Macaca mulatta: one gene and its partners. Each later gene encodes a partner of the first gene's protein in a complex. Links are inferred from orthologs where the notes say so. Each region holds a gene or a part of one and is shown on either strand. Other genes may lie near its edges.

Region 1 (4,286 bases):
TCTCCAGCTGCCAGGAGTGTAGGCTGCTGAGATCAATATTGGGGTGCAAAAGCATGGTACCATCACGTGAACATAAACTCTTCAGAAGTGCTACCCCAATTTCAGAGATCCTAGTGGCATAGGCTGAGGCCTATAATATAATTGCATCTGCCCGATTCTGCTTGTCTTACTCCCTTAAAGGTGTGGATCCTGACCAGGTGTGATGGCTCACGCTGTCATCCCAGCATTGGGATGAGGTCTGAGGATCGCTTGAGCCTATGAGTTCGAGACTAGCCTGGACAATATAGTGAGACTCTCATCTCTACAAAAACTAAAAATAAATGAGCCAGGCATGGTGTGTGCATGCCTGTGGTCCCAGCTACTTGGGAGGCTGAGGTGGGAGAATCGCTTGGGCCCAGGAAGCTGAGATGGCATTGATCTTGCCACTGCACTCCAGCCTGGGCAACAGAGTGAGATCCTGTCTCAAAAAAAAAAAAAAAAAAAAGAAGTGTGGATCCCCAACAAACTTGCTGCAAAACCCTGTCTCGAGTCCCATTTCCCATAGAACCTGACCTAAAAGAAACAATAATAAATAGTAACAATGTTACAAGTAACAAAATGACCCTAGCAAACTTTCCTACATGCCAGAAATGACTCTGAGTGCTTTACTGATATATACACATAGGTAAATACGTTTGCATTGGCTGAAGTGTATATAACCCCATAGTCTCTGAGCACTGTAGCGGGAGGACAAGATGAGCGAAAGATGAGGCTAGGACCATGGATGGAGAGAGGTGGACAAGGTAGATATAGTTAGTGCTTGCTGTTTGGCAGGAAGTGAGGGACAGGAATAGATGGGGTGACCCCAAGACAGTAGGGGAACCTTTAGGAACATTTTTGATGTGGCAGTAAAATGAGTTTGAAATATAAAAGAATAAATAAAGAGAAAAAAATTTAAAAGGAACTGATTTGAGGGAACAGATTGGATTAGTCAGGTAGTGTGGTCTTGTCTCCCGAGATGGGGACTGGGCAGAGTTAGTGATGTTGGGGCAGATTGGCAAGGAAAGTTCCGATGGCATCCCTTTCTCTACTGCCAGGGCTGCCCACTGACGCCCTCCTCATTCCTCCCTAACTTCATCCCAACTCCCGGTCTACCCAGGTAGTTTTCGTCTTATTCGGCGGCTGGACATTTGCTAATGGTCCCTGAAGTTTTGCGGTTGCACCCACAGACAGCAATAGCGCCGCGTTCCCTGGAAGACGCACGGGGCGGAAGCGGAAGCAGCAACGCTGGCTCCGGCTGCCGGACGGCCAGGAACGGAAGCGGAAGTGGCGGCGGCGCCGGCCTGGCCTGGCCTGGCTGAGGGGAGGCGGCGGGCGGACGCGATGGCGGAGGCCGGGCCGCAGGCGCCGCCGCCCCCGGGCACTCCAAGCCGGCACGAAAAGAGCCTGGGACTACTCACCACCAAGTTCGTGTCTCTTCTGCAGGAGGCCAAGGACGGCGTGCTTGACCTCAAGCTGGTGCGGCCCGGGCTAAGGGGCGACAAGGGAGGATGGTGGACCAGGCCTGGGCCGGTAGCGGGAACCCCGGGGGCGGCCCAGCTGGGTCCTCCGAGAGCCGGCCGCCATCGTGTGCTTTCTCACAGGAGAGAAGCCGGGGAATGTTTCATTCATTCGGCCGAGGCCATTGAGCTACAGCTATGGGCCAGGCTCGGGGCTCCAGGTGTTCGTCCTCGTGGCCCTTCCTGGCTGGCGAGGAGAAGAGCTGCCTATGGGACAGAGCTGCGGGCCTGAGCTGCAGTAGCGCCTGGCAGGCACTACAGGGTTGGAATCCAGGTTACTCCCTTCCCAGACCACGTCTCAGGGTGGCTGGGGGTACACCCGAGAGTGGGGCTGAGCATTCTCCACTCTGTCTGCCAGGCAGCTGACACCCTAGCTGTACGCCAGAAGCGGCGGATTTACGACATTACCAATGTTTTGGAAGGTATCGGGCTGATCGAGAAAAAGTCCAAGAACAGCATCCAGTGGAAGTGAGTGGGGATAGTGGGAGGGTAGTAGAGTCTCCCACCCAGAAGTGTCGGGGGTGGGGTGGAGGGTGCCAAAGAAGGCAGGGGCCGTGGGACCCAGAGTTCTCAGCAGTCCCTCTCAGCCCCACTCCCTGGGCTCAGGGGTGTGGGGCCTGGCTGCAATACCCGGGAGATTGCCGACAAGCTGATTGAGCTCAAGGCAGAGATCGAGGAGCTGCAGCAGCGGGAGCAAGAACTAGACCAGCACAAGGTGTGGGTGCAGCAGAGCATCCGGAACGTCACAGAGGACGTGCAGAACAGCTGATATCCTCCTGGCGTTCCCTCCTGGGGGGAGTGGGCAAGGGGCCCTCTGGTTCAACTTGCCCTGGGCAAGCTCCCTGTTCCTCTTGGGAGCTTGTCCTGTGGCCCCTGGCCATGGCCCAGCCTCAGGCTCCCTCCTCAGAGCCTCTCCCCTTCCAGTCTTAGCCTGTGATCCCTCCCCCAGTGGACCTGAGTCCCCAGAACTTTCTCTGAGGGGCCTCTGTGTCAGACCTTGGCTAAAGAATTGGGTCTTTTTTGTAGTCTGCCATCTGTCACCATAGGGCATCGGCCATTCTCCTTAACCCTCACACTTTGGCCTACGTCACTCATGAGGACATCTGCAGATGCTTTGCTGGTGAGCAGAGCCTGGGTAGGGGTGAGGGGGTGGGCTGGGCTCAACCAAATCCCTGAGCACTGGGTTCAGTGTCTCAGGAGAGTTCCGTCTCTTAAGAGGGTTTCTGGGGCCTGCTCAGAGAGGAACCAGGCAGGGTAAGTCTTCTGTCTGAGTGTCACTGGGACCCTGTGGAGGTCAGCTATACCAAGAGGGTACAGGAATTCTGGAGTGGGTTCCTGGGTCTGTTCCCAACTGTACTGTTTCCTGGATTTGGCTTCTTGAGTATGATAGAGGTACAAGGGGGAGAAAGGGAGAGAGGATATGTGTGTATTTGCTTGTGTGCAGGCTCTTACATGCAGGGCATGGGGGTGCCCACCTCCAACTTGTTAGTTTAATTGCATTGTGAATGCAGGATATGTTCCTTTTTTTTCTTTCCTTTTTTTTTTTTTTTAAAAAGAGACAGGGTCTTGCTATGTTGCCAGGCTGGTCTTGAACTCCTGAGCTCAAGCTGTCTTCCCCGCTCAACCCCCTAAAGTGCTGGGATTATAAGTGTGAGCCACTGTGCCCCGCTGATGTGTTTCTTCTCCATCATGTATCCTCCTGACTGGTCATGGGAAAGGGATGTTGGCCTTGGCTAGAATACCTTCACCTAGGGAACAGCCATCGGTGGAAGAGTGAGGTGCCTGTGGCCAGTGATATTTGACTCCACATACTTGAACCCAGATTTCCTGGTTACTGACTCTGGGCTCTCAGGAAGAGAAGAGCTTTAGCTCTGCCCAGCCACTATGGGGAATGGGTGAGGTCCACTGTCTAGTCCCTCAGAGACCATGATCTCCTGCCTTGCTCCAAAAGACAGGCACCTCTGTTCCCAGCTCAGATTGAGCCCATGGGCTCTGACCCATTCTCCATGTCATTCTAGGAGATACCCTCTTGGCCATCCGGGCCCCATCAGGCACCAGCCTGGAGGTGCCCATCCCAGAGGTGGGTGCTTAGCCCAGGCAGGCGGGGTCAGCTGAGGGCGGGTGCTGGCTGTGGAGACTGATAAGTCCCGGGTGGGGCAGGTAGGGGAGGCCTGGAGTTTGGGGTTATCTAGGAGGATGGGCATCCTGGGTGGGAGAGGACACTGGTCCTGACAGAGTCGGGCAGGAGCCAAGCCTGCTTCCAATTCTACCCATCTCCCATCCCTTACCACCCATCTCTAGGGTCTCAATGGGCAGAAGAAGTACCAGATTCACCTGAAGAGTGTGAGTGGTCCCATTGAGGTTCTGCTGGTGAACAAGGAGGCATGGAGCTCACCCCCTGTGGCTGTGCCTGTGCCACCACCTGAAGATCTGCTCCAGAACCCACCTGCTGTTTCCACGCCTCCACCTCTGCCGAAGCCTGCCCTAGCCCAGTCCCAATCCCAGGAAGCCTCACGTCCAAATAGTCCTCAGCTCACTCCCACTCCTGTCCCCGGCAGCGCAGAAGTCCAGGGAATGGCTGGCCCAGCAGCTGAGATCACAGGTGAGGCACCATGGGAGCTTGTGACAGAGGCCCAAGAGGCAGTATCTCTGTGTTGTGAAACACCACACTCAGAGTTGGAAGAGACCCTTCAAGATGGGGATTGTCTTTTTCCTGACCTCCACCTAGCCTTCCCTTGCTGTGGTAAT
Region 2 (3,774 bases), about 14 Mb from region 1:
TTTTTCTCTTGATGCTTTCAATATTTTCTCTTTCTTCGGCTTTGAGCATTTTTACTGTGATATATCTGGTTATAGATGAGTTTATCCTACTTGCAAGTTACTGAATGTCCTGGAGATGTAATTTAATAAATTTGGGAAGTTTTCAGTATTTCTTTGAACATTTTTTTCTGCTTCTTTCTCTCCTCTCCTGATTCTCCCATTACACTTATGTTGATTTCCTTAATGCTGTGCCACATTTCTCTGAGGCTGTTTATTTTTCTTCATTCTTTCTCTGTTCTCAGATCACACCATCTCTTCACGTTTGCTAATCTTTTTGGTTTTTTTGCTACTTCAAATCTATTTTCCCTAGCTTCTAGTGAATTTTTCATTTCAGTTACTGTAATTTTCTACTCCAAGTCTTTTTTTTTGAGATGAGTCTTGCTCTGTTGCCCAGACTGTACAGTGGCTCAATCTCAGCTCACTGCAACCTCCGTCTCTCGGGTTCAAGTGATTCTCCTGTCTCAGCCTCCCTAGTAGCTGGGATTACAGGCACATGCCACCATGCCTGGCTAATTTTTGAATTTTTAGTAGATACTGGGTTTCACCATGATGGCCAGGCTGAACTCCTGACTTCAAGTGAGCCACCCTCCTCGGCCTCCCAAAGTGCTGGAATTACAGGTGTGAACCACCGCAGCGGCCTCTAAGTCTTGATTCACATATTATTCTTAATGAATTTTAATAGATATTCTTGAATCGATGTATCTTCATTTGCTATATGCCTTTAATACCATTTCCAGAGACTTTAAATAGCTTTTATATAATTTTCACCCCTTTTACTGGGCAGCAGGTTCACACAGCTCCTCACACTATTATGGTGGAAGTTGTTGTATCTCTCAGAGCACTCTTATTGTTTGCCAGGTCACAAAAGAAGATAAGTCCTTCCAGAATATTATGCGTTGTTATAGGACTCAGCCACAGGCCCGGAGCCAGGTAACTACATTTTCTCTATGAGCTGAAAATAACGCTTAAAGTCTGTGATGAATACAAAAAATTAACCATAGTTGACTCTGTGGCCTTTTTTTCCAAGATAAACACCTGGGACTCTACTTAAGGGAAATTTCTGCTTTAATCTTCTTTATTCTTGATGTCACATGTTGATTAAGTTCTCTTTTCCTCAGAAGGCAACAATGTTAAATATTTGATTGCCTTCTCAATTCAGAAAAATCACAAGATAGATTGGAATTAAGAAGTTACTTGGTTTCTATGTCACCATTCTGGTTTAGTAAACATACTGTACGTTTAACCAAGAGAATGTCACATGGAAATTTAAAACCCACTTTGCCTTTATTACGATTCGTCTCTGAGAGGCAAATTGGCAGATCTGTGTATCTGACTTAGAATGACTTGACTTTATGGTTGGGTGCTGTTACCGCAGCGTGGTACTGCAAGTAGTACTTGGCATGTGAAGCTAGATGGGCTCTGATTGAATCTTAGATCTGTTATAATTTGAGTTATGTTTCTTAACCTCTTCTGAGGACAACTATTGCTACACAGATTATTGTGAAAAGTAACATATGTCAAGGTCCTATCACCAAGGGTGTGCTCAACAAATACTAGTTTACATCCCCTTCTCATTATTTCTCTAAAGGTGTATAGAAGTGTTTTGATAAAAGGGAAAAGAAAAAGACGAAATTCCGGCAGCAGTGATAGCAGAAGCCATCAGAATTCTCCAACAGAACTAAACAAAGATAGAAGTAAGTGGGATCTTTGTGAACTACAAGACAAAATTAGGAGCTTTTCTTACTTTTTAGGACTTGAAGTAACCATTACTAAATGAAATAACTATAGAAACTATGAAAGTGTATAAACAAAGGGTTTAATGGATCAGTAAACCAAATTCTGGGTGGCAAAACTGTCCATTCCATAGCTTTGGGGCACATATTCTATAACATTTTTCTCCAGGAGAATTAGAGCTTTCAGTGAGGAATCTGCTTGCCTGAGTTTCAGAAAGGACTGACATGTCAGTTGGAGCCATGCTATGGAAATACCATCCCCTACCTGTTGGTTTGTCCTAGGGCTTAGGTCCTAGAAAACTTGGTGTAGCTTATTAATACTACTCAGAAAGCCCTTGCTATGGTTATGGCATAGGGATATCAAGTTAAAATCCTAGCTGAGCTTTGCCTTTTGGTGTGAAGAACAGAATGCCTATTCACTGTTATTAGCAAGTAATGCAGGTAGCTGTTCCCTTTCTCCTACTTTTTAAAAATTAAAACAATCTATACTAGCAGCTTTTGTATTGACACCCTGTGTTCTCCTGGAAGCAGCCAGTAGAGACTCCAGTCCAGTCATGAGGTCAAGCAGCACCTTGCCAGTTCCACAGCCCAGCAGTGCTCCTCCTACACCTACTCGCCTCACAGGTGCCAACAGTGACATGGAAGAAGAAGAGAGGGGAGACCTCATTCAGTTCTACAACAACATCTACATCAAACAGATTAAGACATTTGCCATGAAGTACTCCCAGGCAAATGTAGTAAGTATTACAGGGATCATTTCATGCTTTTTTCATGAGTATTGAGGAATTATTTATGATTTATATATGGACCATTCACCTGGTCCATATATAAACTAGTTTTGGCCAAGCGTGGTGGCTAACACCTGTAATCCCAGCACTTTGGGAGGCTGAAGCGGGCAGATCAGTGGAGGTCAGAAGTTCGAGACCAGCCTGGCCAACGTGGTAAATAAAACCCAGTCTCCACTAAAAATACAAAAATGAGCCAGGCGTGGTAGAACACATGTGTAATCCCAGCTACTCTGGGGGCTAAGGCAGGAGAATTGTTTGAACATGGGAGGTAGAGGTTGCAGTGAGCTGAGATTGCGCCACTGCACTCCAGCCTGGGCGACAGAACGAGACTCTGTCTCATAAATAAATAAGCTAGTTTTACAAATAATTCTATTAAGTAAAACTGAGGAGGTCTGTAATTTACCTAACCAACATAAGTTCTGTTGTTAAGCATTAAACAAGAATAAGATTGTATTTGGAGTCCCTACAAAGTATAGTAGTACAAGAGACAGGCTACATGGGTTCAAATTGTCTAGTACGTAACAGTAGTGGTAACCTTGCAAATCATTAAATTTTCTCTGTACCTTGTTTCCTCATATATATAAAACATGGGAATATAACTAGTTCTTAGCATATGGAGTTGTAAGGATGAAATGACATAATGTATAAAAATTGCTTAAAATAATAACTGGCACAAACTAAGCACTTAAGGTTTGCTATTAGAATGTTTTTCTTTAGGTTAAATTAGTGCTAATATATCACTCTTATCATTCTCAGTAAAAATACCTCATTATAAATTTCTTAGAGTTACTGATTTTTTTTTTTTAACAGATGGATGCTCCTCCACTCTCTCCCTATCCATTTGTAAGAACAGGCTCCCCTCGCCGAATACAGTTGTCTCAAAATCATCCTGTCTACATTTCCCCACATAAAAATGAAACAATGCTTTCTCCTCGAGAAAAGATTTTCTATTACTTCAGCAACAGTCCTTCAAAGGTGAGCCTAACATCAATCTTGGCCTTTACTAACCCCAAAATGCTTCAGATGCTAGAAAGAGGGTTTGTGCTAAGCCTAGGCACTCATTAGAGTGATGAGAGCTACCAGGGAGCAGTGATCAGTCAGTTCCCATGCAGCAAAACCCAGGATTTGTTGTTTTTTTGCTTTTCTTGAGGGTGGAATTTTAGGGTTGGAAACAGGGTAAGGGATTTGGATTTCTTTTTATCCCCTCTCCTATT
Region 3 (3,774 bases), on another chromosome or scaffold:
GGCTAGAGAGAAATTTTGAGGTGTCTACTGTAATATTCAAAAAATATGAGCCAATTTTTTTAGATATATTTCAAAATCCATATGAAGAACCACCAAAGTTACTGCGAAGCCGGAAGCAGAGGTGAGCCCTTAATCCTTACATAATTGACAAAAAGATTATGATACAAACTAAGAGAATGTACTTTTTCGAAAGTCTGTTTTTTATGAAAAGTATTCCTGCAAAGAGCTTAATTATTTTCTTTTTAAATCCATGTACAATTATCCATATTTGGAAATTCAGAATAATACTTTTACTTATTTTTCTTTCTTTTTTTTTTTTTTTGAGATGGAGTCTTGCTCTGCTGCCCAGGCTGGAGTGCAGTGTCGTGATCTCAGCTCACTGCAACCTCTGTCTCCCAGGTTCAAGCAATTCTCCTATCTCAGCCTCCTGAGTAGCTGGGGTCACAGGTGTGCACCACCCTGTCTGGCTGATTTTTTATATTTTTAGTAGAGATGGGGTTTCACCGTGTTGGCCAAGATGGTCTCCAACTCATAACCTCAGGTGACCCACCCACCTCGACCTCCCAAAGTGCTGGGATTACAGACGTGAGCCACCGCACCTGGCCCTATGTTCTGATTATTTTATGTAGATTGTAAAGGCTTACTTAAGTCCATTTCATAAATAGTAGATCACTTTTCTTCATGAATGGAATTTCATGTGTAATTTGATCTATTTGATATTTATATTTACTATTTCAGTTTACATGATATTTAGCAAGCTAGTCAGACAAAAAGTAATTTTTTTCCCTTTTTAGGAGGATTCCTTGCAGTGTTAAGGATCTGTTTAATTTCTGTTGGACACTTTTTGTTTATACTAAGGGTAAGATGACACTTTCAGTGGTCTTACATTTCTACTGTGGGAACTTGGTTCTATTTGACTTGAGAGGTTTCTGGTTTTTGTGTCTTTTCTTTTTTTCCCCCCTTATAAAGGTAATTTTCGGATGATTGGGGATGACTTAGTAAACTCTTATCATTTACTTCTATGCTGCTTGGATCTGATTTTTGCCAATGCGATTATGTGCCCAAATAGACAAGACTTGCTAAATCCATCATTTAAAGGTAAGACCTTTTATTTATTTTTGAAAACTGATTATCAGTTTTTGGAAGAAGATTTTTGAAAGTTGAGCATATTTTTTTTTTCCCTCTGCTCTTCCTACACTGTCAAACTAGGTTTACCGTCTGATTTTCATACTGCTGACTTTAGGGCTTCTGAAGAGCCGCCCTGCATCATTGCTGTACTGTGTGAACTGCATGATGGACTTCTAGTAGAAGCAAAAGGAATAAAGGAGCACTACTTTAAGCCATATATTTCAAAACTCTTTGACAGGAAGGTACTGTACTTATAATTAGATGACTGAGATGTTTACAGGTCAGCAGCAGTAGTGTCAGAAGAAAAAAAAGTTTTAAGCAAGTTCTCAGCATTATAGAACTTAGGGTCAGGATTCCCAGGCTTTAGCCTCTACTGTGATTCGGAATTTCCTTATGATCTTGTGTGATGTGAGAAACAGAGCTGTTGAAAAATGTGACCAACTATATGTTCTGTTAGGTAAACATACTGTCAGAGGCAACCGCAGTCCCAGCTATCAGGGACTGTGTAGGAGGTACTGATAAAGAATTGTAAAGAACAGAACATCAGAGTAGGGCTGACAAAGAATTAGGAAAAACAGGAAGTCAGAATAAGCTGACTAATTTACTGCCACAATTTGAATAACGGCTGACTGTTGACTAAAAGTCGGATGATGTATAACAACCACAGTTTTTTGTTTTTTGTTTTTTGTTTTTTTTTGAGACAGAGTCTCGCTCTGTCACCCAGGCTGGAGTGCAGTGGCCGGATCTCAGCTCACTGCAAGCTCCGCCTCCCGGGTTTACGCCATTCTCCTGCCTCAGCCTCCCGAGTAGCTGGGACTACAGGCGCCCGCCACCTCGCCCGGCTAGTTTTTTTTTTTTTTTTTGTATTTTTTTAGTAGAGACGGGGTTTCACCGTATTAGCCAGGATAGTCTCAATCTCCTGACCTCGTGATCCGCCTGTCTCGGCCTCCCAAAGTGCTGGGATTACAGGCTTGAGCCACCGCGCCCGGCCAACAACCACAGTTTTAATTCCATGTAAATCGAGCAGAAAATCCATGATAGTTTTGTAGCCACTTGTAAGCTATCTGTGTGCATTCTGGACATTTTCTCCTTAGTAATTAACTTAGCTATTTCTACATTTATGAATTGGCTTGTTCCTCTGGGTCTCAATTTCTTACTTCCCCAACATCAAGCCATTAAATGTAGTTAGGCCTCAAGATTTCTCTTTGGTAAAAGGAGGGGTTTGGATTACGTATCCCACTTTTCAAATATTAAGAGATTTTTCTTTAAGCATAAATTCTTCCCTTACTGGTTTCTTCTTCTTTTATGCAAACTTTTGTATTCAGTTTTGTGTTCCTCAGATATCTATATTATGGCCCATTGTCTGTATGCTAAACATCTCTAGCAAAGTAAACTTTTTTTAAAGGATCCCAGGGACTGGGCGAGGTGGCTCACGCCTGTAATGCCAACACCTTGGGAGGCCAAGGCAGGTGGATTGCTTGAGCCCAAGAGTTCCAGACAAGCCTGGGCAACATGGCAAAACCTCGTCTCTACAAACAATACAAAAATTAGTAGGGTGTGGTGGTGCACGCTTGTAGTCCCAGCTACTTGGCAGGCTGAGGCTGCAGTGAGCCATGATTGTACCACTGCACTCCAGGCCTGGTGACAGAACCAAACCCTGTCTCAAAAAAAAAAAATTTTTTTTTAATGTTATTTGCATGCTAAATAGTTTATCCTAGTCTGAAAGAAATATTTAATTATTCTGTTTTGTGTGTGTGTGTTATAACAATATGGAAATTTAGATAAATTTCATGTTTGTGTGTGTATTAATATGCTTAATTATATAGTGTCCCAAAATAATTTTTTCTTCACAGATATTAAAAGGAGAATGCCTCCTGGACCTTTCAAGTTTTACTGATAATAGGTAAATATCTGGTACTAGTGGTGCCTGGCATATCACAAGCTGTCGTATTTGTTGATTTGTTGAAATTTGTTAAGCATAACATTATATCAAAGTAAGACCTCCAAATTCAAGTTCTGTCTGCTTTAGTGGCATTGAATGGGTATTGTCACTAAGACTTGTTGGCTTTAAATACATTTATTTTAAGAAATCAAGGCTGGGCACGGTGGCCCACACCTGTAATCCCAGCACTTTGGAAGGCCAAGGCAGGCAGATTGCTTTAGCTCAGAAAGTTGGAGACCAGCCTGGGCAACATGGTGAAACCCTGTCTCTACAAAAAATACAAAAATCAGCCGGACATAGTGGTGTGAGCCTGTAGTCCCAGCTACTTGGGAGGCTTAGGTGAGAGGATCGTTTGAATCTGGGAGATTGAGGTTGCAATGAGCCGTGATTGCACTACTGCACTTCGGTCTGGGTGACAGAGTGAGACCCTATTTCCAAAAAAAAAAAAAAAAAAAGGAAAAAAGAAAGAGGCCGGGCATGGTGGCTCACGCCTATAATCCCAACACTTCAAGAGGCCAAGGCGGGCCGATCACTTGAGGTCAGGAGTTTGAGATCAGCCTGGCCAACATGGTGAAACCCCATCTTTACTAAAAATACAAAAATTAACTGAGTGTGGTGGCAGGTACCTGTAATTCCAGCTACTTGGGAGGCTGAGGCAGGAGAATTGCTTGAAACCAGGAGGCACAGGTTGCAGTGAGCCGAGA
Region 4 (3,774 bases), on another chromosome or scaffold:
TGAATTGTCTTTTTTGACTATAGGTAATTGGTACGCCTCAGAGACCGGCAGCGTCAAACACCCTGGTGGTAGGAAGCCCACACACCCCCAGCACTCACTTTGCCTCTCAGAACCAGCCTTCCGACTCCTCACCTTGGTCTGCCGGGTGAGCACTTCCCTCCGGACCCTTAGAGTTGTAGGATTGCTTGCGGTTCGCACCTCCACGTTCTCCTGGGCCACGTGCGTGACACAGTCGCACGGTGGGGCTCCCATGCGCATTGATGTCAGCCTCCGAATCACACTCACCCATCATCGTGCCCCGCACAGGTGTGCAGTCGAGGCGCACTGCCTCGGTCACGGAGAAGTCGGGCTGGGCACTGCCCACCCTGCTTTGTGTCTGGTGTAGTGGGTGCTCTTGGAAGGGCTGGCAGCTCTTGGCCAAGACGGGGAGAAGCTGGCCTTGTACTTGCCACAGGACCTTGGAGACTTTTCATCGTCTGTGCTGGGAGCACGCGGGATGGATTTCACCCACTGCCCCTGAATGCAGCCTCTACTGCCCCTGGGGTTACGGCCCCCGTGAGTGGTCCCACCAGAGTGGCTCCTTCCACTAAAGCAAGATCTGATGAGCTGTGTCTTTCCTTAAAAAAACACACATGCAAAGCTACAAAAACCTACCTGTGTCGGTGCCCAAAGCTTCACCAGCTGGGACCGCAGGTGACCTTTCCCGCCACGTGGGGACTGACCAGAGTGTAGAGTTGGGCTTTCCCTCTGTGTGAAGAACACTTAGTGGTTTGCACCTGTTGTCAAGCGGCTATCACAGCCCAAGCCGTATGAAATTATAGCCTGCTGAAATTTGTCCTAAAAATTCCCAAATGTACACTGAAATGTCCCATAGTTCCTGATTCTGGTTGCCCTCTTTAGAAAAGTGATGCCTGTGGCTCACACCTGTAATCCCAGCCCTGTGGGAGGCCGAGGCCGGCAGATCATGAGGTCAAGAGATTGAGACCATCCTGGCCAACATGCTGAAACCCTGTCTCTACTAAAAATACAAAAAAATTAGCCAGGTGTGGTGGCAGGCGGGCGCCTGTTGTAATCCCAGCTCTTGGGAGGCTGAGGCAGGAGAATTGCTTGAACCCAGGAGGCGGAGGTTGCAGTGAGCCAAGATCGTGCCACCGCACTCCAGCCCACTACAGAGCGAGACTCCATCTCAAAAAAGAAAAAAAAAAAAAGAAGTGCTTGGTGTACTGATAGGCCTCTCATATGCTGAGTACTGATAGGCCTTCCATATGCTGATTCGGGTCCTGGGGACGCCTCCCGTTTTCCCTGACACTTGGAAGGACAGAGGTGCAGCCTGCCAGGGAGACACTCGCTTTCTGACCTGCAGGAGCACTGGGCCTGGGGGCTGGGGCTAGGTGGTCCTGGCCTGCTCACGTGTTGGATCTGCTGCGCCCGTGGGATGTGGCCCCTTTTTGTGCAGCTCATTAGAGCTCTCAGGTAAAAGCATTCCTCGATTCAGACTGATGCTCAGGAGGGCTGACAGTCGCTTCTTTTTTCCTTTGTATTTTGAAGGAAGCGCAACAGGAAAGGAGAGAAGAATGGCAAGGGCCTGCGGCATTTCTCCATGAAGGTCTGCGAGAAGGTGCAGAGGAAAGGGACCACTTCCTACAACGAAGTGGCGGACGAGCTGGTCGCGGAGTTCAGTGCTGCCGACAACCACATCTTACCAAACGAGTCAGTAAGTGTGTGCTGGGGGCCGAGAGGCCAGGGTAGCGGAACCAAGTGGTGTGGCACGTTTTACTCTTTTAATATTGGGAACAGTTAAAACCATACAGAAAATTCCAAGTACAGCATGACAGAATTTTTCCCAGTCCATTTGCTGGCATGATGCTCTGTCAGCGTCAGTGAGCGAGCACGTGGGCTGGCTCTGCACATCCAGCGGCCCAGAAATGCAGACGTGCCCTCCTCGCCAGCTGGGCTCGACACCAGAGGGCCCCCAGCTCCCCTCCTGGAACACACCGGGATTCGCACAGCCCTGTCTTGCCCTGCATCATCTGTAGGGTGGGAGTGCTCCCTGAGGACGTGTTGGGGTGACAGCTCTGTGAGCGGGGTGCCCCTTCAAGCCGGTGCGCGTGGCCTACAGTTTAAGGTGGGATCCACAGGCTTTTTTGGATCATTTGGAAAATCCACTCCCTGTCATCCGCAGGCTTATGACCAGAAGAACATAAGACGGCGCGTCTACGATGCCTTAAACGTGCTGATGGCCATGAACATCATCTCCAAGGAGAAGAAGGAGATCAAGTGGATTGGTCTGCCCACCAACTCGGCTCAGGAATGTCAGAACTTAGAGGTGGCCCTTCAACCTTGATTTCCCTTCAAGTCTGTGTAGATGTGTTTGTTGTCCGTCACTCAGAAGGGTCTGGGCTCCATGCCCTTATGCTCTCTGTGTCCAGACGGCTGGCAGACGGTCATGCAGACGTCTCCCTGCGTTTCTCAGTCTCGGCTGTCAGGGGAGGGAGCATGGTTGGTCCAGACCCACTAGAGTGTGTTAAACTCTAGCATAGGTTAATTGTGAATCCTAGTTTGTGGGATTTTTGTTTTCTTTTTAGATACCATAGTTAAATCCAAGAAATGAGAGGAGAGGGGAAAAGGTATAGTTTAGAAATGGAAGAAAAACTCACCTGTATTTTGTGGCACCTGCTATGTCTAGATTTGTCCATATCCCTTCGATTACATTCAAGGTAAACATAGGTAACACTGAGGATGCGGGTTGTAAAATGCACTGTATGGAACAATCGTGATGATTCTCTACATGGGGGGTTTGTTTTTGAAGGTGGAAAGACAGAGGAGACTTGAAAGAATAAAACAGAAACAGTCTCAACTTCAAGAACTTATTCTACAGGTAAGAGAATACATATCTTTGGAGGCAGGGTAATTTTTATTTTACTAATTTAGTTTTATAACAGCAACATACTGCCTTGGGTTACGCTCCTGTGTGGCAAATTAAATGACTGCTTTAAGATTCTGAGTGTGAGTTCATCTCATAGGTGTTGAATGTGGGCCGTGTTCCCAGAGCGAGGTTGTGTATGTGTGTGCGTATGCATGCATGCGTGCGTGTGTGTGTGCATGTGTGTGTGCACCTGCGTCCATGTGCCTGTGTGTGTGCATGTGTGTGCATGCCTGCGTGTGTGCCTGCGTGTGTGTGCACGCATGTGTGTGCGTGCCTGCGTGTGTGTGCCTGCATCCATGTGCCTGTGTGTGTGCATGTGTATGTGTGTATCCCTCGTCACAGTGTCTAAACAGCCAAAAGACAGATGGAGGGATGACTTCATGCAAAAGCAGCATTTGAAAAATCCCCTCAGAGGTGCTTAACCCAAGGCCCAGGTGCCAGGCGAGGCATGTAAAACTGTGGTGGGCGCAATGCACCTGGGTCTTGACAGTGCTGATCAGGGCCCTGGAGCTGGCCTTTCCCACCTCCCATTGAGTGCTGAGGGTGGGCGGCACCCCTGGGGGCCCCGTGTCTGGTGTGGAGGGGGTCGTGTGCAAGGTGCTCAGTGCAGAGCTGACTGCTGCTCTGGCCGAGGTGTGCTCGAGCCCTCCCAGAGGGGATGGTGTGGCAGCCATGGTGATGGAGACTCGTGGGCGAGAGCTGCTCAGGGCCACAGAGTCTGTCAGGAGGGACAGTCCTGGTTGCCAGTGCCTTAGTACCTGCCCAACGGGGATAGACCCAGGGTGGCCGGGAGAGGAAGGGAATCTCCTGGCTCTACATTAATAGCAGAGAAGTTCTCTCCAAGTGGA
Region 5 (4,254 bases), on another chromosome or scaffold:
TCTATGGAAAATACAAAGAGCCACACTTAGGGAAAATAATTCGGTAAATGGCTGCCTTTGGTGAAAATCTAGAGTCCACTTCTAGAAGAAAATTCAAAGTTCATACACTGACCCTCGCCCCTCACGTTCCCCCTCCCTCTTACCTCGGATCACCACGGACAGTGAAGTAGGGTGGGGGAAGGGAGCAATGGCAACGTGGACGCTCAAGGCAGGGGACAGAATAACCAAAAAGAGTAGTTTCTGGGGGATAGAGAGAACGCTGGTGCAGAGGTGAAAGGGAAAGACGGTGGGCGGATGGAGAGATGAGGGCAAGAGACTGACAGCAGGGAGCGGGCAGAGCTGGAGAAGGAGAGTGGGCGAGAGCCAGAAAAGAGGAGGCTTAGGAGTAAAAGGGTAGAGGGCCAAGGGTAACAGCCCAGGGTTGGATCCGGGACGAGGGAGGGTATGAAGTGAGGGCTGGGCATGGGACAGGGCCCACAGGTTAGGTAGGAGGTCCGGCCAAAAAGGGGTTGGGCCAAGAAGGTGGTCCCAGCCCGAGGACGGCTCAGGGAGCGGACGGAAAGGATCCAATTCCTAGCTTCATGGTGCCTTGGCGCCACCCTCACTCGCCTGCAGGATCCTGGCTCGCACTGCCGCCGCCGCCGCCGCCACTACCGCCGCCATGGCTCTCGGCCGCCCTAGCTCCGCAACCCGCTCCTCTACAGCTCAGACGCACTACAGCTGCCAGGCCTAGCCCTCCATCCTGCCGGGCTTCCTCATTGGTGGGGAGGACTATTTTCTTCAGCCAATCACTCGTCCTAACACCTGATTCCTCCTCTCACACCCCAGTCCTGGGGATAAGTGATTGGTCAGGAGCGAAAATGCTCGCACCCTCTCCTACCTCAGCCAATGCCGTTGGCGGAGGTAGAGAAGACGCCCCCGACTTGGACACTCCATACTGAGCACACGGAGGAGACGCCCCCTAACCTGGAACTCCGATTGGCCAAGGACGCAACCGAGGCCCCACCCCTTCACTGAGCAAAGTAAATAAGACCCTCCAAGAATTTTGCTGTCGCTCCACCTCAACAACTGCATAAGGGGCGTGGCTATGATGAGGGGAGGGGCTGGGCGAAGATTGCCCTATGAGGCGAGGGAATGAGACGTGGCTGCGAGTTGGGGATAGGGTTTCTCTTTGGGGGCGTGGCTTATGGATCCTCGTTTTCCCGCCGACGGTTGGCCACGTCACGTGACATGGGTTGGAAGATGGCGTCTCCCACAGACGGTAAGAGCCGGCTTAGGGATGTTTGCCTGCAGCCTCCTTCTTTGCTGTATGGGGAACATCCACTCTGTCTCTGCCCCTCGAACATACATTTCTTTCTTGGGCTCTTCTCCTTTCCCTTTTGTTTTTTTTCTTGCGATCCATCGCCGTCTTCAGCTCACCGGTTCTTCGCAGCAGCTTCAGAGGTGCCCAGTTTCCCTGCTCTGTACCAGGCGTGTGGAGGAGGGCACTAGGGAGGGACTCATTCTGGGTAAAAGGACAGGGGTCGCCCTGGCCCTTCCTTATCTCTATTTGGGCGAGGCTGAGGGTAGAGGAGGAGATGTTACTGGAGGACGTGCCTTACTGTAGTTTTCTCCTTGGGGTATCCCATTGAAAGGATCAGTTCTCTTCTGATTGAGCGCACAGATGGAACGATTCTCAAACCCTCGCAGGGGCTGCTGGCTGACCCCATCTCGATAGTGAACCGCAAGAGAAACATGATCTCTCTCCTGTCTCCTCAGTTTGGGACCATTGCCGTGGCAGCAAGAGAAGCGGGGGACGTTCTCGGCCCCTCGCCGAGAGAGTCGCGAGGAGAATGAGTATTGAGCTTTTAAGTGTTGTCTTGCACAGGTCGCAACCGCTCTTTCATCTGCTTTACGTGTTGTTTCTTAAGGCTGAGTGAATGAACGATTTCTGTTTATATGTTGTGTAAAATGCAAGTCATCTCAAGTAACAAGTTGTTTTGGTATACTCCCATGCTTTTGCTTTTGGTTCTGCTTTAGAGAGGGTCTTGCAGTCATTTTTAAACTCATTTTTAGTTCTACCATCCGCATCCCAACTATATATCGATTTTATTGATATATAGGTTTCCCTCCCTTAGACAAACAGATTTTGTATTTGGAAGGAATCTTGGAAGTTCATTGCAGGAATGAAGAAATTGAAGCCAAGGTGAGCTGTATTGAGTACCTACTACATGAAAGGCATAATGCTAGGTGCTTTGGGAGACCAAAAGATGACTCAAACATACACACTTTTTTTTTTTTTTTTTCCAGTTTCAGTTCTCTTTTTAGATGTCACCTCCCAAAGAGTCTTTCTTAGAACACAGTATCTGGAGTTGCCCTTCCCCACCATTATTCATTGCCTCAGTATCTTCCTTGTCAGCATAGTTACTATGTTAACTTTGCCCCTTGTACGCTAGATTATAAATTACAAGTTTGTCTTGTTCATAGCTGGATTCCAGGTTTAGCACAGTGCCTGACGAACAGTAGGTCTTTAATTAACATGTATTGAAAGATTGATTAGATATGTGCAGAAATAATATATTACTTGATCTTAAGTTTTACGTTTAACCGAGTCTTAAATTTTGTGAGCACAGGTACATACTGTGTTAGAAATTATGGCCGGGCGTGGTGGTTCACACTTCTAATCCCAGCACTTTGGGAGGCTGAGGCAGGCAGATTGCCTGAGCTCAGGAGTTGAAGACGAGCCTAGACAACATGGTGAAACCCCATCTCTACAAAAAAATACAAAAATTATCTGGGTGTGGTGCCGTGCACCTGTAGTCCCAGCTACTTGGGGGGCTAAGGCAAGAGAATCACTTGAGCCTGGGGGTGGAGGCTGCAGTGAACCATGTTCATGTCACTGCACTCCAGTCTGGGTGACAAAGCGAGACCCCGTCTCAAAAAAAAAAGAAGGAAAAACAAGAAATTTGGATGTTTGGAGTCAAAAGAGATTCTCCTTCCTGGGTGCTCTCTTGCAAAAATGTCCTTCTCTCGCCAGAAAGAAAGGCATTTAAAAAGGGAATAGGGAGTTATTGTTAATGGGTACCAAATTTCAGTTTGGGAAGGTGAAAGTGTTCTGGAAATGAATGTGATGATTGCACAATTAATGTACTTAATACCACTGAACTCTATACTTAAAAGTTATTAAAATGGTAAAATTTATGTATATTTCACCACAATTTTTTTAAAAAGCCAAGTGATAGAAATAGAGGTAATTGTTATTAAATTTTTTAGTTTATTTTAAAATTGTTTTTACAAATTTTGGGGATTTTAGAGATGTGTTCCTTGAGTTTGGTTTTTTTTTTTCCTTGTCTTCTCTCAATTTAGTTTCCTTTCTTTGGCCAGGAAGAGTATTAAAAATGTTAAATTTTTTTCCTTTGGTCTTCTAGCCATCCCTATGGTCACTTTATTTGCACTCTTGATTTTTAAAAGTCTTCATTCTCATCTCTTACAAAGTTTTACTCCTCTCCACCTAATGTTTTCTTTTAATCTGAAAAAATCAAGTCAAGCACTTTGAACTTAAATTCAACGTCTCAGTAAGTATCTCATTCCAAAATATTCCATGGCCTAGCTCTCTCACTTCTATTTTTAGTGTTCCACCTGTCACTGTCTTTAAAATTTAATTCAGATAACATTGACTTGAAAATGTTTGTCATTTACTCTTTTGTCTTTTTCGTGATAAATTTGCTGGAGCTTCTTTGAAAAGGAGAAAACTGAAATTCAAATACAGCCATCTAATTACTTAATTTATGAGAGTAAGACTCACAGCAGAGTCTGAGTTCTATCCCAGACTGTGGGATAAGGTCACCCATGTAGGTTATTAGATTGTACCCCCAATAATTTTTTTTAAAATTTTCTTTTAGAGACAGGGTCTCTCTCACTCTATTGCCCATGCTGAAATGCAGTGGTATGATTATAGCTCACTGCACCCTCAAAGGCTCAAGCTATCCTCCCGTCTCAACCTCCCAAGTAGCTGGTACTATAGGCTCACACCACCATGCCCAGCTAATTTATTGTTATTATTATTTATTTTGTTTTGAGACGGAGTCTCACTCTGTCACCCAGGCTGGAGTGCCATGGCACGATCTCGGGTCACTGCAATCCCTGCCTCCTGGGTTCAAGTAATTCTCATGCCTCAGCCTCTCCAGTAGCTGGGATAACAGGCACACACCACCACACCTGGCTAATTTTTGTATTTTTAGTAGAGACAGGGTTTCACCATATTGCCCAGGCTGG
Region 6 (3,774 bases), on another chromosome or scaffold:
AGGTTTTGGTCACTTGAAACAAGCTTGTTAACATGCTAGCATAACTTTTTTTATACAAGTTTTTAATACGTAGTTTTGATTATAATGTATAATTTTATAATTTTGTTTTCGTATCCTAAACATCTTCCCAATTTTAAAAAATTATAAATATTTTACTGTGGCAGTATCTTTAATCTCCATGTGGAGATTATATTCAGTACTCTAAAGACCAGAATCCCAGGTTATAAGCCTCATTAAGGTGTCTGACCATTTCCACTTTATTCAGTCAAAAACTATTTGCTGCTTATATTCCAGTCATAAGAGTTCTTTAGACTTAATATCTTAAGGCCAGGTGCGGTGGCTCACTCCTGTAATCCCAGCACTTTGGGAAGCTGAGATGGACAGATCACCTGAGGTCAGGTATTCAAGACCAGGCTGGCCAACACAGACCTCATCTCTACTAAAAATACATAAAATTAGCTGGGCGTGGTGGTGTATGCCTGAATTCCCAGCTACTTAGGAGGCTGAGGCAGGAGAATTGCTTAAACCCAGGAGGCGGAGATTGCACTGAGCTGAGATCATGACACTGCACACCAGCCTGGGCAACAGAGTGAGACTATCTCTCAAAAAGAAAAGAGAAAAAAAAAAACAAAAAACTAGTATCTTAAATATTTGAAAAAAAAAAAAAAAGCCTTATTTTTATAAGCACTGGATCTCCTTTTCAACTGAGGCATTTTATTTTTGAGATGGAGTTTTGTTCTCGTTGCCTAGTCTGGAGTGCAATTGTGCGATCTCGGCTCACTGCAACCTCTGCCTCCCGGGCCCAAGCGATTCTCCTGTGTCAGCTTCCCGAGTAGCTGGGATTACAAGCGTGCACCACACACTCAGCTAACTTTTTGTATTTTTAGTAGAGATGGGGTTTCACCACGTTGGCCAGGCTGGTCTCAAACCCTTGACCTCAGGTGATCCGCCCACCGCGGCCTCCCAAAGTGCGAGGATTATAGGCGTGAGTCACCGTGCCTGGCCTACTTAGGCATTTTAAATCATATGCCATTTGCAAGGTGCATTCCATTTAATAATTCCTCAAATTAACCTCTAACAAACTTTCTAATACCAGTCCAGTCCAAATCACAAACTATGTTTTATCAGGTCTTGACAGACACTGCAGATATTACAGACATGCCTTATTTCTCACAGCCACCTGGTATAGGCTATTTTAAGGACAAGAAAACTGAGGCTCAAAGAAATTCACAAACTACTAAGCAGCACAGATAGTATAAACTCAAGTCTACCTGACTTTAGAGGTCAAGCTTTTCTACTCCAGAACTCAGCAGATAAGAGATAACAATAAGGAGCTGCACTATTACAGTGTGATGGGTGGCCCAATAGGATGGGAAAACTGCTCCAAGAAATGGAAGAGGCAAGAGAAGGTAAGAAAATGCAAAAACAATAATTACACGTTCAGCGAGACATATGAAACATCTGGTTTTCTTTAGGATTCCTCAAATTACATAATTACCTCATCTTAGTAGAAATTAAGCACAGTGGACTAAATCATTACTGTGCATTTTCGAACTGCCCAATAATCTGACAGTGGCTTCTGTTACCTTTAAATTCCTTTACAAGTAACTAAAGATGGAAAGAAAATGCAAAAATCAGGTTTGCAACAACCAAAAGTATAAACTCAACTTTGCCCCCTGAAAAGAAACTTTATCAAAAGTGAGTATTTGGGAAATACTATAAAAAGATTAAAATACTGACTTACTTTCCGCCTCCACTATTTAAAGCTGGTGTTGGCCTAGTAAGCAAGTCTGAAATTTGAGAGGATAACTTCGTCTTGGCTGCTGTTTGTTGCTGTACCCTTACTTCAGCTGCATCTGCCAAATGCATCAATGTCTTCCTTTCCGGGCTTTCTTCAAAATTCTTACAGCCAATACATTTGCATATTGAGGAACACATTATTTTTGCCTAAAAGATTTACAAAAGAAAAGTTTCCAAATCAAAACCAAAATACATTACTGGAAGTAGATGCCATGATCAAATCAACAGCTAATAGCATTACCTGGTCAACTGATAATAAGATTAGATGGAAGCATCTCTGGCTGACAAACAGTAACTACACATGTGGCTAGCTAGGTTAGGTATTCTTAAGTCTGACAGTGGCTGTATAACATTTGTGGCTGTGTCCTTCCATGTCAGTTTTCCCCCACTATGGATATAGATTTTCCTCAGATATGAATAACACATGTTTCTCATAACATGAATGATACATTAAAATATCAAAAATAAGGGTCATCCAGAATCCAGCCACCTCAATCAAATCATCACTAACATGTAGATGATCTCCCATTTATGCATATGTATATAATTTCATATTAAAGGGATTTCATAGATGCTATTTTTATTATTCTATTATGCTATTTTAATCTGAAGAGGGAGTTCGGGAGGGACTTCAGATTCCCAAAACCCTTCAATAACCCATATGAAACTAGGGTGTGTTTTACATTTTATATAAATATATATTTTCATGTAAAAATGTCATATATTTATATAAAACCGTAGACCTTATGTATATACACAAATACAGAACTTTCACTTTTTAGTTTTTCAAAGTCATATACCTGCTTTTTTGCATCTTGCTTTTCTTATACTACAACTCATGGAATCCCTCCAAAGTCATCTGGCATAGCTTGAATTCATTGTATTTAACGGCTCCAGTTCTTGGGTACCACAAATGATGCATAAAGAGTATTTTTTTTGGTATACATTATGCCTTTTTATTTCTCTGAGTTAGATTTCTAGAATTGGGCTCACTGGATAACAGGTCATGTATTTTAATTTTTTTTTTTTTTTGAGACGGAGTCTCGCTCAGCCACCCAGGCTGGAGTGCAGTGACACGATCTCAGCTCACTGCAAGCTCCGCCTCCTGGGTTCACACCATTCTCCTGCCTCAGCCTCCCAAGTAGCTGGGACTACAGGCTCCCACCACCACGCCCAGCTAATTTTTTGCATTTTTAGTAGAGAGGGGTTTCACTGTGTTAGCCAGGATGGTCTCGATCTCCTGACCTAGTGATCCGCCTGCCTTGGCCTCCCAAAGTGTTGGGATTACAGGCATGAGCCACCGCGCCCGGCCAGATTGCTTTTTCAAACGGCTGTAATACCTCACATCTCATCAGCGATGTGTAAAGGAAGGATTTCCCACATTCCCTCCAACAATGGATATTATAATTCCTTTTAACATTTTATGCCAGGCATGGTGGCTCACGCCTGTAATCCCAGCACTTTGGGAGGCTGAGGTGGGAGGATCACCAGAGGTCGGGAGTTCAAGACCAGCCTGACCAACATGGAGAAACCCCGTCTCTGCTAAAGAGAAAAAAAAATTAGCCAGTGGCACATGCCTGTAATCTCAGCTACTCGGGAGGCTGAGGCAGGAGAATCGCTTGAACCCTGGAGGTGTGGAGGTTGTGGTGAGCCGAGATCACGCCACTGCACTCCAGCCTGGGCAACAAGAATGAAACTCTGTCTCAAAAAAAAAAAAAAAAAAAAAAATTTATAATCTGATGGTGTGGGTGATAAAGTGAGATTTCACTGTTCTTTAATTTATATTTCCCTGATTTCTAATGAATTTGAGTATGTTTTTGTTAGCTGCATTTTCTTCAGTGAACCCATGTCTATATAAATAAATAAAACTGTCCTTTCTCTCTATACCACCTAGTAAGATAAATGGACTGCATTATAAACACATTTACTCTGCTCCTTTCTTATAAGACACCAATAAATTCCATTTAAGGAATA
Region 7 (3,774 bases), on another chromosome or scaffold:
TCGCCCGGCTAATTTTTTGTGTTTTTTAGTAGAGACGGGGTTTCACCGTGTTAGCCAGGATGGTCTCGATCTCCTGACCTCATGATCCACCTGCCTCAGCCTCCCCAAAGTGCTGGGATTACAGGCGTGAGCCACTGCGCCCAGCCTGACCATTTTCTTCTTCTTTTTTTTTTTTTTTGAGATGGAGTCTCGCTCTGTAGCCCAGGCTGGAGTGCAGTGGCCGGATCTCAGCTCACTGCAAGCTCCGCCTCCCGGGTTTACACCATTCTCCTGCCTCAGCCTCCCGAGTAGCTGGGACTATAGGCGCCGGCCACCTCGCCCGGCTAGTTTTTTGTATTTTTAGTAGAGACGGGGTTTCATCGTGTTAGCCAGGATGGTCTCGATCTCCTGACCTCATGATCCGCCCGTCTCGGCCTCCCAAAGTACTGGGATTATACATTTTCTTCTTAAAGAAAGCCCATCTACTCCACATCTCAAGTCTATTCTGTGTTAGAAGAAACTGAAGTCGAAGAGAAGAGGCTAACCAAGAAGACACAGTGAGCTGGGAACTGGATGAGAACTAGACTCCAGGGTTCTCACTTTCTTGCTGAGGCCTCCCTTATCACCATCTGTTCTTTTAAGCTGACAGAAGACAGGGCCTTCCTGGGGAACCACCCTTCCTCCCGACTATGCATGCCTCTGGGAGTCCTGAAGCCGAGGCTGGGTGTTAGAGAACAAGAGCATAGGACCACAGTACCCACCAAGGAACCCTCCTCCATCAGAAACATGGGCCTGGCCTCCTGAGAACCTGCCCCAACCCCCAAGAAGACAGCTTACCTCCCTGGCAACATCTTGGCAATCTCGGCCCAGCGGTTGCCCAGCACCTTGTGGGCCTCGCAGATAATGCGGTCCTCCTCCTCGGTCCAGCAAGACTTCTTCACCTCAGGGTTGAGGTGGTTGTGCCAGCGTTCACGGCACTGCTTCCCCAGCCGGCCCTTCAGGTGCTTGGCAATCAGTGTCCACTGCTTTGTGCCGTACTTCTTAACCAGCTCGATGACCTTGGAGAAAAGCCTCTGGGTAGCCAGTTGCACCAGCCCCTCCCTCGCCCTTCACATCCACCTGAGCCTTGCCACGGCCCTGGGAGGTGCCACCTACCACATCCCCTCAGGCAACACGGAGCGGGTGGCAGGGGATGCCACGCAGTATGACTCTGTGTAGCCCATAAGTCCTACCTGAGGATCTGACCACACCCCTCTCATTTACTGCCTGGAATAAATCTAGGTCAAGAATGCCAGCGACTCTTTCTAGAGCAGAGATCAAGCCGGGGTAAACAAAGGCACCAGAGTCCTGCTTCCCTCTTCAGGGCTCAACCCAATAAGCTAAGTATAAAAGAGCAGAGGGATGAGGAGGAACAACCACAAGGGTCCAAACTAAAGGTGGGAAATAGACTTTCCCACCCCGGCCATGCCCCAGGCTGCCACAAGACCTCCCAGCACTTCTGTGGAAATTGGGAGGGCACAGGCTGAGCCATGGTAGCAGGCATGGCGGGCTGACCTAGCTGGACCTGAGTCCCCACCTGCCCTCAGTCAGGCTTCCTAGCTCAGGACACAAACCACAACATACTCAGCCACAAGAGCCAGGCCACGCCCTGCCTATACAACAGACACACACATTCTCGTGTGCACACAGGCCACAAGAAACTGGGAAGAGTGGATGCTTCTTTTGGCAAAGATTTTGGTGAATAAATATTTGACTTCATTTCTGTATGGTTTAAATTTTTATAGCAACCACATATCACTTTGTTTTTTGTTTTTGTTTTTTTTAAAGATTTTATGTTTTTACTTTATTTTCATTTTTTGAGATGAAGTTTTGCTCTTGTTGCCCAGGCTGGAATGCAATGGCACAATCTTGGCTCACCACAACCTCCGCCTCCCAGGTTCAAGCGATTCTCCTGCCTCAGCCTTCCAAGTAGCTGGGATTACAGGCATGCGCCACCACACCCGGCTAATTTTGTACTTTTAGTAGAGACGGGGTCTCTCCATGTCGGTCAGGCTGGTCTTGAACTCCCGACCTGAGGTGATCCGCCTGACTCGGCCTCCCAACGTGCTGGGATTATAGGCATGAGCCACCGCGCCCAGCCCAATTTTATGTTTTTACTTTTTTAGAGACAGGGTCTCACTGGTGTGCAGGGGGGCGATCTCAGCTCACTGCAACCTCTGCATCCCAGGTTCAAGCGATTCTCCAGCCTCAGCCTCCCAAGTAGCTGGGATTCAGGTACACCACCACACCTTGCTAATTTTTGTATTTTTTGGTAGATGGGGTTTCATCATATTGGCCAGGCTGTTCTCAGACTCCTGACCTCAAGTTATCCACCCACCTCAGCCTCCCAAAGTGCTGAGATTACAGGTGTGAGTTACCACACTCAGGCAAAAAAGTATTTTCAAACTAAATTTTATTTTATTCTTAAGAGACAAGGTCTCAGGCCGGGCCCAGTGGCTCATGCCTGTAATCCTAGCACTTTGGGAGGTCGAGGCGGGTGGATCACCTGAGGTCAGGAGTTCGACAACAGCCTGACCAACATGGCAAAACCCCCTCTCTACTAAAAACGCAAAAATCACCCAGACATGGTGGCGTGCACCTGTAATCTCATCTGCTTAGGAGGCTGAGGCAGGAGAATCGCTTGTACCTGGGAGGCAGAGGTTGCAGTGAGCTGAGATCATGCCATTGCACTCCAGCCTAGGCAACAAGAGCGAAACTCAACCTCAAAAATAAATAAATAAATAAATAAATTTCATTCTTTTTCTTTTTCAAGACAGAGTTTCACTCTTACAGCCAAGGCTGGAGTACAATGGCGCAATCTCGGCTCACTGCAACCTCCGCCTCCCCAGTTCGGGTGATTCTCCTGCCTCAGCCTCCCAAGCAGCTGGGATTACAGACATGCGTTACCATACCAGGCTCATTTTTGCATTTTTAGTAGAGACACAGTTTCGCCATGTTGGTCAGGCTGCCTCGAACTCCTGATGTCAGGTGATCCACCCACCCCAGCCTCCCAAAATGCTGGGATTGCAGGCGTGAGCCACCACACCCAGGCTTTATTTTTTTTTTTTTTTTTGAGGCAGGGTCTCACTGTGTCACCCAAGCTAGAATGCAGTAGTGTGATCATAGCTCACTGCGGCCTTGAATTCCTGGGCTCAAATGATCCTCCCAACTCGCCTTCCATCTACAGGCACCCTACCACCACACTGAGTTAATTAAAATTAATTTCAAGGTGAAGTGCCAGCCATGGCTCATGACTATAATCCCAGAACTTTGGGAGGCCAAGGTGAGAAGATAGCTTGAGCCCTGTAGTTCAAGACCAGCCTGGGAATCATAGGAAGACCCTGTCTCTATAAATTAAAAAAAAAAAAAAAAAAAAGGCTGGGCACAGCGGCTTGCGCTTGCAATCCCAGAACTTTGGGAGGCCAAGGTGGGTGGATCACAAGGTCAGGAGTTCAAGACCAGTCAGGCCAACGTGGTGAAACCCCATCTCTACTAAAAATACAAAAATTAGCCAGGAGTGGTGGTGGGAGCCTGTAATCCCAGCTCCTCAGGAGACTGAGGCAGAGAATTGCTTAGATCCGGGAGGCAGAGGTTGCAGTAAGCCAAGATCGCGCCATTGCACTCCAGCCTGGGCAACAAAGCAAGACTCAGTCTCAAAAAATAGAAAAAAAGAAAGAACAGGAATAGTGGCTCATACCTATAATCCCAGCACTTTGGGAGGCTGACATGGGAGGATCATTTGAGCCCAGAAGTTCA

The links.
Region 2: E2F4 (region 1) and RBL2 share a complex: the UniProt entries of both Homo sapiens proteins name them as parts of the DREAM complex. The link is inferred for Macaca mulatta from reciprocal best matches to the Homo sapiens genes E2F4 and RBL2.
Region 3: E2F4 (region 1) and RBL1 share a complex: the UniProt entries of both Homo sapiens proteins name them as parts of the DREAM complex. The link is inferred for Macaca mulatta from reciprocal best matches to the Homo sapiens genes E2F4 and RBL1.
Region 4: E2F4 (region 1) and TFDP1 share a complex: the UniProt entries of both Homo sapiens proteins name them as parts of the DREAM complex. The link is inferred for Macaca mulatta from reciprocal best matches to the Homo sapiens genes E2F4 and TFDP1.
Region 5: E2F4 (region 1) and LIN52 share a complex: the UniProt entries of both Homo sapiens proteins name them as parts of the DREAM complex. The link is inferred for Macaca mulatta from reciprocal best matches to the Homo sapiens genes E2F4 and LIN52.
Region 6: E2F4 (region 1) and LIN54 share a complex: the UniProt entries of both Homo sapiens proteins name them as parts of the DREAM complex. The link is inferred for Macaca mulatta from reciprocal best matches to the Homo sapiens genes E2F4 and LIN54.
Region 7: E2F4 (region 1) and MYBL2 share a complex: the UniProt entries of both Homo sapiens proteins name them as parts of the DREAM complex. The link is inferred for Macaca mulatta from reciprocal best matches to the Homo sapiens genes E2F4 and MYBL2.

Annotation. Positions count from the first base shown.
Region 1 is NC_133425.1:62,734,031-62,738,316, forward strand, and holds the start of E2F4 (transcription factor E2F4), read left to right. Parts: upstream 1-1,321; 5' UTR 1,322-1,362; coding exon 1,363-1,497; intron 1,498-1,622; exon of another isoform or gene 1,623-1,676; coding exon of another isoform or gene 1,677-1,812; intron 1,813-1,896; coding exon 1,897-2,006; intron 2,007-2,144; coding exon 2,145-2,306; intron 2,307-2,614; coding exon 2,615-2,658; intron 2,659-3,556; coding exon 3,557-3,618; intron 3,619-3,839; coding exon 3,840-4,140; intron 4,141-4,286. UniProt on the Homo sapiens protein: Transcription activator that binds DNA cooperatively with DP proteins through the E2 recognition site, 5'-TTTC[CG]CGC-3' found in the promoter region of a number of genes whose products are involved in cell cycle regulation or in DNA replication.
Region 2 is NC_133425.1:48,962,304-48,966,077, forward strand, and holds part of RBL2 (retinoblastoma-like protein 2), read left to right. Parts: intron 1-897; coding exon 898-969; intron 970-1,627; coding exon 1,628-1,733; intron 1,734-2,300; coding exon 2,301-2,509; intron 2,510-3,370; coding exon 3,371-3,535; intron 3,536-3,774. UniProt on the Homo sapiens protein: Key regulator of entry into cell division. Directly involved in heterochromatin formation by maintaining overall chromatin structure and, in particular, that of constitutive heterochromatin by stabilizing histone methylation.
Region 3 is NC_133415.1:89,928,164-89,931,937, reverse strand, and holds part of RBL1 (retinoblastoma-like protein 1), read left to right. Parts: coding exon 1-121; intron 122-794; coding exon 795-859; intron 860-969; coding exon 970-1,098; intron 1,099-1,209; coding exon 1,210-1,370; intron 1,371-2,981; coding exon 2,982-3,031; intron 3,032-3,774. UniProt on the Homo sapiens protein: Key regulator of entry into cell division. Directly involved in heterochromatin formation by maintaining overall chromatin structure and, in particular, that of constitutive heterochromatin by stabilizing histone methylation.
Region 4 is NC_133422.1:107,853,149-107,856,922, forward strand, and holds part of TFDP1 (transcription factor Dp-1), read left to right. Parts: intron 1-23; coding exon 24-145; intron 146-1,548; coding exon 1,549-1,714; intron 1,715-2,182; coding exon 2,183-2,326; intron 2,327-2,809; coding exon 2,810-2,878; intron 2,879-3,774. UniProt on the Homo sapiens protein: Can stimulate E2F-dependent transcription.
Region 5 is NC_133412.1:147,266,568-147,270,821, forward strand, and holds the start of LIN52 (protein lin-52 homolog), read left to right. Parts: upstream 1-1,223; 5' UTR 1,224-1,230; coding exon 1,231-1,261; intron 1,262-4,254. Other genes in the region: ALDH6A1 (methylmalonate-semialdehyde/malonate-semialdehyde dehydrogenase [acylating], mitochondrial), read right to left, coding at 610-663.
Region 6 is NC_133410.1:50,841,053-50,844,826, reverse strand, and holds part of LIN54 (protein lin-54 homolog), read right to left. Parts: intron 1,948-3,774; coding exon 1,745-1,947; intron 1-1,744. UniProt on the Homo sapiens protein: Component of the DREAM complex, a multiprotein complex that can both act as a transcription activator or repressor depending on the context. In G0 phase, the complex binds to more than 800 promoters and is required for repression of E2F target genes.
Region 7 is NC_133415.1:96,521,637-96,525,410, reverse strand, and holds part of MYBL2 (myb-related protein B), read right to left. Parts: intron 1,038-3,774; coding exon 817-1,037; intron 1-816. UniProt on the Homo sapiens protein: Transcription factor involved in the regulation of cell survival, proliferation, and differentiation. Transactivates the expression of the CLU gene.